Coturnix japonica: one gene and its partner. The protein of the gene in region 2 purifies or fractionates together with the protein of the main gene of each other region. This does not show direct contact. Links are inferred from orthologs where the notes say so. Each region holds a gene or a part of one and is shown on either strand. Other genes may lie near its edges.

What was found. Proteins that work in one complex are often made in the same cells at the same time.
Region 1: the proteins of NFX1 (region 2) and LARP1 purify together in Homo sapiens (affinity purification with mass spectrometry, with the first as the bait; 3 studies listed by BioGRID). This does not show direct contact. The link is inferred for Coturnix japonica from reciprocal best matches to the Homo sapiens genes NFX1 and LARP1.

What each region holds. Positions count from the first base shown.
Region 1 is NC_029528.1:5,968,926-5,972,574, reverse strand, and holds part of LARP1 (la-related protein 1), read right to left. Parts: intron 1,595-3,649; coding exon 1,533-1,594; intron 449-1,532; coding exon 383-448; intron 1-382. UniProt on the Homo sapiens protein: RNA-binding protein that regulates the translation of specific target mRNA species downstream of the mTORC1 complex, in function of growth signals and nutrient availability.
Region 2 is NC_029517.1:73,003,568-73,007,984, forward strand, and holds the start of NFX1 (transcriptional repressor NF-X1), read right to left. Parts: upstream 2,920-4,417; 5' UTR 2,817-2,919; coding exon 2,792-2,816; intron 2,284-2,791; exon of another isoform or gene 2,263-2,283; coding exon of another isoform or gene 2,241-2,262; intron 1-2,240. UniProt on the Homo sapiens protein: Binds to the X-box motif of MHC class II genes and represses their expression. May play an important role in regulating the duration of an inflammatory response by limiting the period in which MHC class II molecules are induced by interferon-gamma.

The DNA of each region.
Region 1 (3,649 bases), on a different chromosome or scaffold from region 2:
TCTGGAAGCTGCCATACCTGCTCCACCAGGCCCAGGGCTTAAGACCAGGCTCCAGGCTCCCAGAATAGCATGCAGGGAGGGAGCCCAATGTGCATAGCAGCCCTAAAAGGCAAACCCCTGCACCCTGCATGCTATTCTTGGCTGCCCTCACGCTGGCACTCAGCACCCCAAATGGCCTGGCTCAGCCATAGCTTCCAGTGACACAGAAGAACAGGGAGGTCTGCAAGGGCCTGCTCACCCAAGCTAGCCCCTAAGGCTGTTACCTAGGAGCAACAGAGCACGCAATTGTCTGCCAACCACACAGCCTCACTGGGCACACTACAGCGGAAGCAAATTACTGCAGCTCAACCAGATGCAGTGTCTGAGGATTTTGTCTACTCACCTGGACACTCTTGTGGGCTATTTCTCCTGGTGTTGGCCAATTTGTAGCATCACCAAAGTCACCAACCTTGTATACAAAGAGAAAAGTCCCATTAGTGCACAAATTATGGTTGCCATTTTCTGGATCAGCAGACAGAAGCCCTCCCAGCTACACTGTCACTGCCATTATCCTATGTGGTGGTGATACAAGCTCTGTTCCAGAAATCCCGCTGCCACATGGGAAGACCACCAACCTCTTCCACTCAAGAAGTGACCTGACCACTATAATCATTTCCATCTCCTCCAGCTTTCAGAGCAGGCATGCAAGGAAAGAACCCAAAAACCAGCTGCTTGGGCATAAAATGAATCATGTTTGGTGAATGAATTTACAATGTTACAGAAGCTCCTCCTTACCCTTGAGGGGACTATTATTCCTAAGTTAATTTGTAGCCACCAAGTTGCCCATAAGATCAGGTCTCTACACTCAGGTGCCACGCTTCTCTCCCTAGCAGGCAAATTTCCAGGGAAAGCCACTTGCAGTGTACAGCCATGTCTGTTTCACAGACAGAAGCACCTTCCATACCCAAAACCCTCCCCTCCTTGAAATGGAACAGACAAGGAAGTCATATCATGTTTCAAATGTGTTTTCAGAGGCTGCTGGGAGCCAACACCAATAACCACACTCCTAGCTGTGCTCCAGCTGCATCCAACATTTTCAGAAACAACTGTCTCTCCACCACAGTTAGATTCCCTGGAACAGATTGCCCTGGTGTTCCTGAGAAGTTGCTTTGTATGAAGTCAATTACCCTTGCTCTCTGTGTACTAGTAAAGAACAGTAAGGAGAGGGAAGAAAGAAACGTGCAGATACAAGCATTCAACATCCAGCACTATCTTGTGAATGACCCCTTCAGGCAGGGAGATGAACCAGGTCTCCCCCAGCCCAACTGGGCAGGAACCAGCCCCCAGAGCATGAAAACGTCAAAATGCTTGAAAGAAAAATGAGGACGTTCCTGCATGCTCTTTGCTGACAGCCAGTTCAGTACATCAATCCCTCCACCATCAGACTTGCAAAGGAAGCTGTCTCCTCAGCAGACCCTCAAGGCACTAACACTGCACTGATATCTGAATCAGAAGCTAGAGGCCAGTGAGGGACACAGCAGGCATGGACTTACCTTGCTTCCCTTCCGCTGTCTTGGGTTGGCAGCCCTCACCACTTTAGCAGGAGTTGTGTTTTCTGCAAAAGGAGGAGAATAAAACTGTTATATCCAGCTGATAGCTGGGGAAGCAGAAAGCAAGCCACCTCCCCATTCATGACAGCAAGCCTACAAGGGAAAGGTGAGCAGAAGAGAGCCAGCTTTGGACCTGGGTTTCACAGAGGCCCATCAAGATTAAGTGGAGGCACACTGAACAGAGAGCCCTAATGCAGCACTGTGTGCAGATATGGGGTGAAGCCACATACTTAAACCTGCCACTCTGGATTAATACAGGTGACTGATGCCCCAAGAAGACGGGTCCTGAACTCTGTCCCTCCGCATGAAGGCACCTAGCTCAGCCCTCCGCTCTTGGCCTTGCCAGTCAAGGAGGAAGGGTGGAGAAGAGTTCAGCTTGCTCCATGAGGCACCGCACAGAACTCAATCTGCTGTTACTCACAGCAAAACAAACATGCCCTTGAAGAGGTGAGGCAGCTCCCCATGCTGACACAGCCAGCTCCATACTGAAGAGGGCTGTGGACATGTACCCACGTGGCCCAGCCGGCAGCACATGGACACTGCTCATCTCGTGCCTTGCTTTGATCTCTGGTGCATCCCAACAAGGGGCAGCAAGTTCACAAGAAGGAACACACAGAGATGGAGCCAGATCTAGGAAGGGCTTAAACCCCACTGCAGCCAAGAGTATTTAAATAACTGAGTGCTTCTGAGGGTAATTTAAGGTTCAATACCTTGAGCCCTGCCTGGAAAAAGCTGTCAAAACTGACCCTGCCAGAAAAGCAACACTTGGTCAGGCTGCTGCACCGGTCCTGAGGCTGGAACAAGGTTCAGCCTCTGCAGCCTTGCAAGATTTTGGTGCAGGGCTTTAATACCTGCCTTGCAGGGCACGCTGGCTGCTGTAGGCTCTACAGTTCAGTAGAACTGCTGTGCATTGCCAAGCAGCCGTGCTGGGCTCACCACTGAGGCAGCCCCTCCAGCACTAACCCCACTTCCAACTTTGCTGGAAACAAAACCTTCCACACTGGGGTAGGAAGGAAGGTGAAGAGAAGAGCCCCAAGGAATTGCATGGGCTGCGTGGGGACACCCTGGGAACCACCATGAATAGCCTACCTAACTCCATTCAAAGTTGGCTTTGATCTGCTGCAGAAGACAGGTTGACTTTGCCTAGATGATCAAAACCGGTACCCCTCCTTGCCTCAAAACTTATGATTCATCCTGCTGGCCCAGCCTTGCTCTGAGCTGGAGACTTTGAAGTGTCAATAAAGCAGAGCCAGACATGGCAGAATGGAGCCATCTGCACTCCCCCACCCCAGCTCCCTTTCATAAGGCTCCCACGTGGGGATTTCACCCCAGGGAGAGCCCAAACTCTCAGCCATGCCCCCAGATCCTTCCCCTTTTCCCCCGGGAGTTTCTCAGCCTGCCTGCACTGCTCCAACCACCAAACAGTGGCAATCCCACATGTCTTATTCATTCCACGTGCATCTCATTGAGAATCCTGGCTCCACAGCACAAAGCTTGCCACAAGGCTTTTAAACTTCCCTTCCTTAAAGCAGCGTAGGAAGAAAGAGCGCTTTCAAAACAGTCCCTAAAAATCTTCCACTCAACACCCACAGGTGTCACCAACTAAATATAGCTTCCAAATGCTACAGCACAAGCCTGCAGCCAGCCCGGTTTTCACAGGTAGGGAGCACCAGCCTGCTCTGACAGCACCAACATACCTGGCACTGCTGAAAAAAAACCATAGCAGAGCTCACTTGGCAGCCTGGCTGTGCACAGATCACTTGGCTGGAGCAGAGCAGGGCTCCTGGTCCCAGTGCACAGGCCCCAGCTGGTTGCCTGCTCCCAGCCTGCTGCAGCTCAAAGGTGACAGAGATGGCATCCTGCTCTTTACAGCTGCTCTGCAGAGCATCAGAGGAAGAGAAGCTTTTGTGCACTTTTGGGAGAGGGTAAATAAAGGGAGGCCCTCTGCACCTCCCCAGGCAACAGGAGGGCAGTGCAGGGGTGCCAGAGGAGGAGTGGGTGCTGCAGCCTCTATCATCTTTATGGGTGAAGGAGTAGATGATTTAAAACAAGTTCTGCTA
Region 2 (4,417 bases):
TCCAGTACTTGAAGTGTACAAACTGGAGGGGGAACGGCTACTTACATGAGTGGATAATGACAAGACAATGGGGAATGGTTTTAAACTGAGACATGGGAGGTTTAGGTTAGATATTAGAAGGAAGTTTTTCACTCAGAGGGTGGTGATGCACTGAAAAGGGTTGTCCAGAGAGGTTGTGGATGCCCCGGTCCCTGGAGGCATTCAAGGCCAAGCTGGATGTGGCTCTGGGCAGCCTGGTCTAGTGGTTGGCAACCCTGCCCATGGCAGAGGGGGGTTGAAACTTGATGATCATTGTGGTCCTTCTCAACACAGGCCATTCTGTGATTTAATAATGAGATATGCTTCCTTCCCACAATTCTTAACAGAAATTTGAGAAAGAATAACACACAAAATATCATTATCATAGAATTACTAAATGGTTGAGGTTGGAAAGAAACTCACCAGACCATCGACAGCCCAAGCACTCCTCTCAAACTGCCCAATCATGATTCAAGTGTCCCCAAGAATAAATATTTCACAGCCTCTCTGCAATGTGTTCTAGGGTTTGATAACCCACACAGTAAAAGACTTTTTCATGTACTCAGACAAAATTTTACACCAGCTTTTACCTGTTACTTCTTAGCCTTTCACTCAATAATACTCAGAAGAATTTGAATCCATATTCTTTACTCCCTCTGTGCAAGCCTTCTCTCCTCCAGACTGAACAGACCCAGCTCTGTCAGACCCTCTTCTTATGAAAATGCTCAAATACCTTCAGCTCATGGCCCTATGTTGGATGTGAGTCTTCAGTAAACCTTCGTCTTCCTTGTACAGGGAGCCCACAGCTGAACGCAGCATTCCAGACACTGCCTCATGGGTGCTGAGTAGAGAGAAAGGATCATCTTCCTAGATCTGCTGGCAACATTCTTTCTAAGGTAGTTGGGGTTACTGTTGGTCATCTTTGCAGCAAGTCTTCATTTCTGGCTCATAGTCAGCTTATTGTCTATAGAAGTCTCTAAGACTCCCCTCTGCGGAGCTGCTTGACAGCCAACTGGCACCCAAAGAGTGTTGTTGCATGTTGCTATGTTTTTGTCTTTTTACATTTTTATCCAAATTCAATGCATCCACATTTTAAATGGAAGATGGAAGTTTTGGCCAGTCCATTTGAAGACTACACAGGAGAAATACTAAGTAGGGATAAGAAATACAACCTCACAAGTCTAAGAGTATCTACTACAGGATAATTTTTTCCTAAGGTCTAAATGCAATGAATTTTCACTTCCTGTTCACCTTTATAATATGTTCAGTACTTTATAGCACCTCCTGATACCTTTATTTTAATACCATGGCAGTTGAGAAAACAGAACTAGTTGCCATTGTGAAGGTAAAAGCACTAAGCTACATTCAAAAGCAACAGCAGCTACTCATGGGGAAGAAATCCATAATGACCATTAAATACTATAGCATCTAATCTGGGATATGCCTTCTAGATGCACAGGGCTGGAAACTGGAAAGATACATAAATGGAATCTATCAAGCTCTACACTCCAAGCCACATCACAGGCTATTTCACTTCCCACAAGGCCATGGGCCCATTTTTAAAATATCAAAAATGAACTCAGATTATTTTTCCCTCTTCACAGCCCGGGTGCTAAGAACAGAAAAGACTAAAGATAGTATCTGAAATGTAAAGTAACGATATTCTAAATCTGATTTAACTTCAGGGTGCTGTAAAAGCAGAGACTTGTATTTTCTTCTTCATCCCCGGCCATTCAAGTCCAGCACTCTGTACTTGACAAAAATTTAACAGCTACATTAACAATGAGAGGAGTGAGCTCATCAAGCGAGCCCCAAGCCATGCTGATTAACTGGAAAGTCTATTCAGAACAAGAGAAACAGAAGATGTGATGAAAGCAGTAAATACCATGAATGTCTCCAGGCACACAGAGTTTCTATTTAAATACCCAAGACACAACTGTATAAGAATTCTTGTAGTACTAAGTGCCCATAACACGCTATGGGTCATTAAATACTAGGTTGGAATATGCATCTTGAAGGGTCGATCCTCTTCCACAGCAACCACATCCAGCAAATTAAAAGTTAATCTGATCCTACACCTTAAAAACCACCATCGGAAACAAACAATTTCTTCTACTTGTGGCATTCAATCCCACCCCAGGTTGGGTTCCTAACCCTCCCCTCCCCCCCTCCACGTGCTCTGTTTTGTCACCCGTAGGGCACTGGAGAGAACGAGTACTCACCAGCAGCACGCACCTTAGTCATCTCTTCAACCCTTGCAAGGCTCTACACGGAAACACACCGAACACCACAATCTTATAAATGCCTGTGCAACAGGAGCGGGTCAGTAGCACCGCCCTCTGCAGAGTATAGCAAGCACGGGGCGCGAAGGGGGGATAATGGCGATCTCCGAGAAGCAGTAAGTTTTCCAGAATTCAAATGGCTTCTTTTTTTCCTTTCTTTTGATTTTTTTGAGTCCCGTTCGCTCGTCACATACTTGAAACTCACATGTTTCCTCCTGGCCAAAGTTTCCCCAGCCCATCCTGCGGCACACGCACAGCCCGGCCGCCTCCAGCACTGCGGACCCAACAACGCAGCGGTGCGGGCGGCACGTAACAACAGGTGGTGCCTCAGCCCGGACGCCCCAGACTGCCGGCATTCGGCTGCCAGCACCACAGCTCTGCCCTCTGCCCACCAACGTTACCGCAGAGCGATGCGCGTTCCTCCTTTCCCCGTCCAGCTCAGCACACCAGCCCTCTCCCCGGCTTCCCCCGAAGGCAATAACCGCACTCACCTGTATTGGGCCGCGCCTCCGCCATGCCAACGCTTCCCTCCCGCCCCCACCCCGAGGTCCAGCTTCCTGGCGGCCGCGCACGCGCCCCAGCGCCGCCAACTCCCCCTCGGCCGAGGGGAGCTGAGGACGCGCAGCCGCACTGAAGAGACGGGCACGAGCCGCCGGGAAGGGGGCGGTGCCAAGGGCTGAGGGGCGGGCAGGGGGCGAGTTCGAGGGCCGGGTCGGCTGGTCGTTCAGGTCCGCAGGGCAAAGCGGGCTGTAATTAACAGAAAAACGGGAGTTTTGAGGTTGAAAGCAAGGAAACGTGATAACAACAAAGAAATGCTACTGCTGGCGGTAAATTGGCTGCTTGCTTGGCGATGAGCTTCACAGCTGTGGCCCTTCCCTGTACCGTCTGTGTTTCAGAGTGTATTGGTCAAGCAGAAGGGAAGGAAAAGAATGGTCCTTTGCTTTGGGCTCGGTGCCCTAAAGAGGTGGGGTTTTTTGTTTTTTGGTTTTTTTTTTCCTATAAAGAAAGTATAAAGTAGGCATACAGCATCCAGCTGTCTACTGCGTCCTGCATGGAGGTGGCAGTGGCATGTACTTGCTGTCCCAAACGAGTGCTGGAACTTGAGCTTCTGTTGGAAAGCCTACAAGTGGATATTCACAATACAGTCCAAGCTGCAGACAGACCTTGTAATGCTCCAGCTACAATTACCCCGTAGAACTACGTGTTTTGTCATATTGCAGTGTTCAACACGAAGATAACTATTGTATGATTCACACCTCCCTGCAGAGGTTTACAGTGTCATGGTTACAGTACGTCTGCAGAGCAGCTCTATACTTTTACCACTGCAATGTAGCTAGCTACCGAGTCCTTACAGAGCTGCTGATCTTTTCAGATACTGAGTAACTTCAGAGTACCATAGCAACTGCAGCTCAGAAAAATGGCACCTCTGAGGAACATCGTCTGAGGTATAGCCTGCATTCCCTCTGAGGAATGTCGTCTGAGGTATAGTCTGCATTCCGTTCTCTGCAGCCCTACCATGAAATTCTCAGATCAAAGTTCCATTTGCAGAATAGTTCTTCCCATCCTAGTCTTCAAAGTTCATGGCTCCAAAGCTCTTAAAGGACATGTGGTCTTCTTTTGCAGAAACTCTAGTCACTGATATGCAGCCCAGACTCCTGCCACTGCTACAAAGGAAGCACACAAGTCACTACAGCAACAGCTTTATGAAGATGCTACTATGTGCTTGGATTACGAATACAATATGAAGTGTTTTGTTTTATGTAAGTATTTGTCTCACCTAAGCTGGCAAAGAAGAGCATACGGCAGCAGCAGGTTTAATGCATCCTTTCAGGGATAATGCATGGTCTTCCTACTGCTGACAAGAAACTTGAGGTAGACCTCTGACTCATGTTCTTCTCTGTCACTACTATACAGACATCACCGTAGCATTCACACAGAACTACTACATACCACTTTCCATACATGCTACAGCACTACCACTTCAGCATACATTCTTTGGTTACCATCAAAAAGTACAGTTGTGGTATGGATACAATAATTTGCACCTATGTGTGCTGCTGCAAAATGTCAGTTACTAAGTCAACACACATTTTCCTTGATTACATCTTTTTATCTCA